2 linked regions of the Schizosaccharomyces pombe genome follow. The protein of the gene in region 1 interacts with the protein of each later gene in a pairwise test. Each region holds a gene or a part of one and is shown in the gene's direction. Other genes may lie near its edges.

The links. Proteins that work in one complex are often made in the same cells at the same time.
Region 2: the proteins of cog4 (region 1) and pex14 interact in a two-hybrid assay, tested with the Schizosaccharomyces pombe proteins (2 studies listed by BioGRID).

The regions. Positions count from the first base shown.
Region 1 is NC_003421.2:1,352,485-1,356,242, reverse strand, and holds the start of cog4 (COG complex subunit Cog4), read left to right. Parts: upstream 1-1,797; 5' UTR 1,798-2,033; coding exon 2,034-3,758. Other genes in the region: proteinase B inhibitor Pbi2, read left to right, coding at 734-967. UniProt on the Schizosaccharomyces pombe protein: Component of the peripheral membrane COG complex that is involved in intra-Golgi protein trafficking. COG is located at the cis-Golgi, and regulates tethering of retrograde intra-Golgi vesicles and possibly a number of other membrane trafficking events.
Region 2 is NC_003423.3:3,730,797-3,734,389, reverse strand, and holds pex14 (protein Pex14), read left to right. Parts: upstream 1-1,990; 5' UTR 1,991-2,037; coding exon 2,038-2,310; exon of another isoform or gene 2,311-2,370; coding exon 2,371-2,958; 3' UTR 2,959-3,093; downstream 3,094-3,593. Other genes in the region: abh1 (alpha-ketoglutarate-dependent dioxygenase), read left to right, coding at 628-1,396, 1,460-1,584; mpg2 (mannose-1-phosphate guanyltransferase), read right to left, coding at 3,166-3,593. UniProt on the Schizosaccharomyces pombe protein: Component of the PEX13-PEX14 docking complex, a translocon channel that specifically mediates the import of peroxisomal cargo proteins bound to PEX5 receptor.

The DNA.
Region 1 (3,758 bases):
AACCTGTTTTCCTTTGCAAACCAGCTAAATTTTAAACAAATGAGAATCCCAATTAACTACCTATGTGAGAGTATGCGTGAGAGACATACTATGATTAAGTATGGATAAAACGAAATTTCTCTCTTTACCATCCATGAGTCCAACTTTTCAAATTAGATCAAAGCTAGGTAACATGTACCTCGCAGGAGTGAAATCACGGTGTTGATCAAAAAGCAAGAAGCAATTTAAAAGCACTGGTTATTAAAGCATCTAATTTCTCAATTTCATTCTCACTCAACCGCCTATCCCAAAAATACAACTCAATTCCAATGGATGTATGTCTTTTCCAGACCGCGTTGTCTACACTGCGTGAAAAAAAGGAATAATGAGGAATATTGTGTCCCTATATGCAAATGCAATAGCCTTCTCAATGTACAATACGAAAATGTAATATATATTTTGTTATTTATTTTACCAAAGTTCTTTTGACTTTCGTTAAAAAGTATACTGAAAGAGAAAGAGCTAATAAATTGGCTAAGCAAGCAATGTGCACAACCGTTCTATTTAGATAAGCTGACCTACGTAATGCACATGGCGAATGCTATATAAACCAGCCTTTTCCCCTTTGCGCTCAATTCCTTCTTATCTGTACTACATAAGCTTGTTCATTTTTTGACAATTAAGTGAATTTTAAGTACAGCTAAAAAATCTGAAACGCTACTTTCCTTGTTTTTTTCGCCTTCGTTATTTCGCCATGAGTCAAAAGTCGTATATCGTTCAATTGAAAGATTCTGTTGATCCTGCATCGATGGATAAAATAAAATCTGATTTAGAGGCATCTGGTGCTAAAATTGGTCATACTTATGATACCGTATTTAAGGGATTCAGCGTTTCTCTTCCTGAGAATGCAGTAGATGCTTTGTCTGCTCATCCTGAAATTCAACATTTTGAGCCTGACCAAGAGATGCATACTATGAAGAAGGATTAGATTTCTCTCCTTACAGAAAGTTTCGCCTCCATATCAATTGCTTATAGTTGAGCTCGTCACTCGTCGCACGCATGCGTTTCTACACTCAAGTACTTTATGACATTTCATATACATCGTTATGATCAAACAAATACCAATTGTTAATTTGATGATTTTTTTTAGAATTAATTAGTAGGTCGGTCGCGTTTTACCATTTCTTTGTGTCGACCAATTCGACCGTAAAATAGTACACACATTTTTGTAATGTCTTAGTAATATTCGCTTCCCAGTAGTAACTTCCATAAAGATCTAGTTGTTTGGACGAGGAGAGGAATATTGGTACAGCAGTGGGAAATCGAGTAAAGGATTCAAGGTGAAAATAAATAAATAAAGAAAAAGAGAAGCAATTCTTAGAAGGGGGTATACATGAGTATGTTTTAGGTAGAACTGAGATGTTTAACATAGACTACCTTCTTTGTGAGTTGTTGTTTGGCCATCACATTGGTGACAAATATGCTGAAATTTCGAAAAACATGGATTTGTATTTAACAACGAGGCGTAGCAGAAAACCGTAAATTTTTAAAATACAGCTTTTGGAAATTGCTCTTCCATGACTTTTTATTACAGTTGTACTATAAGAATGAATGATTGCACAACAAAATATACTCTCCTATATTTCCTGCCTCACATCAAACATTTAAAGAACAACAGCGAACTCTCGCTATTAGAGTCTGCGATGTTGCGTTCTGTCAAATAATGATATTTATCGTCTCGTTAATTATTAGTTACTGGAATAGTATGATATCGTAAAGTTGACCATTTGCAATGCACTCAGTAACTCTTTTTTTAGTAGGAGTCAATTGTGCGGCATTTGGCAAGTTGAATGGGAGACGTTGCAAGGTTTACTAATTTATTTAAAAATTAATTAATTCGAAAATCAACTGACGACAACCCTTACTTTGGTTTCTTTCACTCTTACTTTGAGTTTTTTAATTGTTATTTTGCGCGGTTAATATTCACAACCTCGTAGATTTTTTGAGATAATTTGCGAACGCGTTTTAGTCTTTCTTTATTTAATGAGTGTACAATGGACATATCCATCAATGACTGCACTGATATCTCGCAAATTAAACAACGGTTTCATGACTTACAAGTCGAATCCCAACGAACCGACGAAAAGCTGGAAAGGCTGCTAAGCGATGCACAGCCGACTGAGAAGTTCAATTCTTTAATCAAGAATATGGCAGAACGTCTAGTGCTGTTTGTAGGTCAGATTGAAGAGCTTAAAGATGCTTTTTGCAATACCACTATCGTTAGCGAGGAGGTCATTGAGAGAATCAAATCGGTCGATAGAGAACAGAATCGTATAAAAGAGTGTCTTTTATTTGTTCGTCAAGTCCGAGATTTCAAAGAATGTTTGCAGGATCTCAACAGAGCTATGCATCACCAACAATGGGAAAAAGCAGCTGATTTAGTACATCGAGCAAGCTCCACATCGCCGGCTATCATCGAAGGGAAATTTGCACATGCCGTTGTTCCCACAGCTGAGCAACCTTTAGCGCCCATGGACACCTTAAAAGAAATCACCGAATCTCTACACACTCTCTTTTGGCGGGAATTCCATAAGGCCGCCCGAAATCAGGATCAAAAAGAAATCACTCGTTACTTCAAACTCTTCCCTTTGATCGGCAAAGAAAAGGAAGGATTAGAAGCTTATTGGCATTTTTTTGGTGGAATTATTGCTTCTAAAGCTAGGGCCACTCTCGATGAGCCCCCTACTCATGCTCTTTTTTTTGCACAGGCATTTACCGGACTGGTCGAGCATGTTGCTTCTATCATACGCGCACATACGCCTCTTGTTCAAAAATATTACAAGGCCAAAAACACCATCACCGTTATTGAAAAATTGCAAGGTGATTGTGATCGCCAAGGTTCCATTATCGTGAATACCATGTTTGACGTGAGAAGAATTGATAACCTCGTAAGCTCTATAGCTTCTTACAAATACATTTTGTTACATGCGAAGTTGAAAAATCGTGCCTTTGTTTCGGATCAAAAGGAATTAGAAAGGGTCTCTCTTCAAACGCTACATCCGATTTTGAATGAAATGTCAGCCATTGTCTCCAAATGGAATATCTCAAAAATATTTATTAGCCGTCTTGTCCTTCGATTGTCCCAATCTGATGGTACTTCGAATGATCCATCTGTCCAGGACAATCTTATTTGTGCATCTATTTTCAATTCTTCAAAGATGGAACTTCTGTTAAAAAAGCAACTTCTTCCATCCTTATTACAATTAGAAACATACTATTTCAGGAGAAGTATAGAAACGTCTTTGGAACTTGAGGAATATTACACAAAGGTTTCCCCATGGATGAGCTCTATTGTAGACGATGTCATGTACGTTACGAAGCAAGTATTCCAACGTGCGTTTTTTACAGTCTCCTCTTTATTCTTCACCAGATTTGTTAACGAAAGCTTAATCCCTATTTTAAGAAATGATTACTATGTCTACCTTTCCCATAATCTTTTAACTGTCTGTAACATTATAAAAGCTCAGTTCCAGAGGCTAAAGAATGCAAATAGCATTCCCGCCAAACAAGTCGAAAACTACATAACATTGGTAAATAGTGCTTCACTCAGCAAGCAATATCTAAAATCAATTGTGGATGGTGTTTCTAGTCGGTTGGAAGAAGTTTTTGCCTTTGCCAAAGACCAAAAATTGGTAAAGAAATCGATTGATAATTTTTTGCAGCTAACCGTTAATTTTGAAAATCTTTGCAAGACTTCTTTCAACATGTACTTTCCGATA
Region 2 (3,593 bases), on another chromosome or scaffold:
TCAGACTGCGAGTTTAAAAACAAAATCGATTGACATCGGTATATTTTCTATTGGACCTACGTAAATGAATAAATTACTATAAAAAACATTTCATCTCATTCAAGTCTTAAACTGATCCCATCACTTTATTAAAAGTAAAATCTTCTTATTTTTTTCATTCACGACACTGTGTTTATACGAATTGTTTTATAGGGAATTTTGGCAGTGATTATAACTCAATTTGTAGTTACGTATAAAAGTGTTCTATTCTTTAACAACTTCGAATGTTTGCCTGTTTCTTCTATTTTTTGTATGATAAAATACCACTTTTCGGTAAAATGAATAGTATTGTTGGGTCTTGCTGCTTTAAAAGGGTTAACCATTTAAAGCGTATTTAAGAACTTCGCATTTAAAATATGCCAAAGTATATTAATTGAGAATATGTATAAAAGATGTAAAGGTAATAAATATTACGCATTATGGTAAAAATTGAATTAAGTTGTACTATGGTTCTTACTGTATTTAATTATCTATGACTGTCTGGGAGAAAAACCTTGCAAGTGGCCTAAACTTTTTCATTCAGTCTCTATTAAATGATCTGTCGATTTCTCCACATAAAGTTAGTTTATTGAAATGCTAGCGGGAAACATGGAACAGGCGAATGTTTTTCGTTTAGAAGAAAAACGCTATAAATGTCGTGCCGACACAATTCCTGACATGTCTGAGGTCCTTGATCCTAATGATCCCCAGTCTTTTGGATTTGAAGCTTTAGTTGAAATTAAACCTAGAGTTTTTTCTTTTCAAAAAGCTCCTGGATTATTAATTCTTAAAAACTATGTTTCATCGGAACTGCAAATGCAGCTGTTAAAATCTATAATGTTTACGCAAATTCAAGATCCTGAAAACAAGACCAACCTTTCACCATTTTATCAACTACCATTAGGTAATGATAGCATATGGCGCAGATATTACAATGGTGATGGAGAAAGTATCATTGACGGCCTTGGAGAAACTAAGCCTTTGACGGTTGACAGACTAGTTCATAAAAAGCTTCGATGGGTTACACTAGGTGAACAGTATGACTGGACGACGAAGGAGTATCCTGATCCTTCCAAATCTCCTGGGTTTCCCAAAGATTTAGGTGACTTTGTTGAAAAGGTTGTTAAAGAGAGCACAGATTTTTTACATTGGAAAGCTGAAGCTGCAATCGTAAATTTTTATTCTCCTGGTGACACATTGAGTGCACATATCGATGAATCTGAAGAGGATTTGACACTTCCATTAATTTCTCTCTCAATGGGTTTGGATTGCATATATTTGATCGGTACCGAGTCGAGGTCGGAAAAGCCTTCAGCTTTACGTTTACACAGTGGAGACGTTGTAATTATGACTGGAACTTCTAGAAAGGCTTTCCATGGTAAGCATTGTTCATTCAAATACCTCATTTATAGTCAATTGATTGCTTACTAACTTACCGCAGCTGTTCCTAAGATTATACCCAACTCTACGCCTAATTACCTATTGACTGGAAACAAGGCTTGGGATGGATGGATTTCAAGAAAGCGAGTGAACTTCAATGTTAGACAGGTTAGGCCTTCTAGATAATGTAAATATGGTTATTTTTAATAAAATAGAAATTGTTTTTAGGGCTTAGGAATGATTGATACCATAATTACATATATATCATGTGCTTACTTGTTTTGTCAATATTTTGTTCCTTCTATTGAACTTTCGAAAAATAATTTTTTTATTTAACACTGTATTAAACCACCAAACAATAAGAAACAATTTTTTCTTTAATTTGTCAGTTAATAACTTTCGGCGTAATATAACCAGAACAATTCATTAGCGTACTTTCACAAATTAATTTGACAAATTAAACAATTGTGTAATCCCATTCTTAAAAAAACATAAACCTCGACATTTCCAAGCTTGTTTAGAGAATTATCGTGAAATTACTATCTTGCAGTCCGGAGTTTACTCAATATATTTCAGTTGCTTATTTCCATACAACTACTAACTAGCGAATTCGGTACAAAGCATTTGTCAATTTGAAAAATGAGGGAGGATTTGTTAAGAAACTCCGTTGAATTTTTAAGAGAAAAAACTGTATTAGATGCTCCTGATGTGAAAAAGATTGAATTTCTAAAATCCAAAGGTTTAACTGCCGAAGAAATTCAAGAAGCATTCAAGCTAGCAAAAAATCCGCTATTCCCTTCTTATCCTCGATTTGAAAACACTAGTAATTTTGTTTCAAGAGATTGGAGAGATTGGTTTATTATGGGCGTTATTTCGACTGGATTTGCATGGTCGGCGTATTCATTAGTAAAGGTACGTTCAAAAAACTGAACATTTAAAATATTCGTGCTGTTTTAACATAATTAAATTTAGAAATACATAGCACCAATGTTTCGCGCACCATCTCAAAACGCTTATGAAGCTGATAAAAACGCTTTGGATGCTAAATTTCTAGAAGCTCATAAAATACTCGAAAATTTAGATGAACAAACAAGAAAGCTTTCCGAGAGAACTGAAAAACAGCAAGATGAATTGGACATTGCGTTAGATGATTTAGAAGAGACGTTGAATACTTTGAAGCGTACGTCCGAAAACCGAGATCGTGAAATAGCTAGAATCTCACAAGATGTATATACCATGAGTACTATTACTTTACCACAAAGTCTTGAGCAAATTAAGAAATCTCAAGAAGAAGCATTACAAAACCTTTCGAGAGAAATTAGCTCTCTACGATGTTTACAAACTGATTCAAAAAAAGACGACACTTTCGCTACCACATCAAACTCTTCGATACCAGTATTAGAGAATCCTTTAGATACTTCAGAAGGTTTTCAAACTAAAAAGGTTGGTACTGCCTCCCTTCCAGATTGGCAAATATCAATGCATAACGAGGCTTCTAAAAACATTGATTTCAATGATATTGATCCCGCAGAGTCTTACGTTGCAGAAGATGCTTATTGACAGTAATAAAACAAATCACTAATAACAATTAAATTCAGGATTTTTTCTAGAATAATACTTAATGTCATTTAACTGGTCTGTCAAGACGCATCTTAATCATTTAACAATCTGCATTCTGCATCAGCTAATAAATGTATATTATATAATAAAGGAGAGTCAAGTAGATATAATAAAAAGCAAGTTTGCTGCAAGGTTAAATGTAGTATCTTACATCACAATCTCACCAACCAAACCAACCTTTATTTCTTTATGAGGAAGTACAAGGCAATTTTGAACGCGTACTTCATCATGGACTATACAATCGGCGCCCATAACAGTAATAGCTTGGACTTTAACGCTGTTACGCATAATCGTAGTGGAGTGCTGGCTTGGAAGAGTTGGAGAACCTTCGACTCGAGACCATTTACCAATCTTGCAATGGCGGGAAAGAATGGAATGTAAAACAACAGCATTGGCAGAAATTTCGCAATCCTCTTGAATAATTGAGTTTCGAATACGTGCGCCATCCTCGATGCGAACACGAGCACCAATTGAAACATTGGGTCCAATCTTTGCACCTTTGCTAACAATAGCATTAGGATGAATAAAAACCGGCTGAATGATCTCAGCCTCAGTGTCGGGTTTTGGAAGAGTAC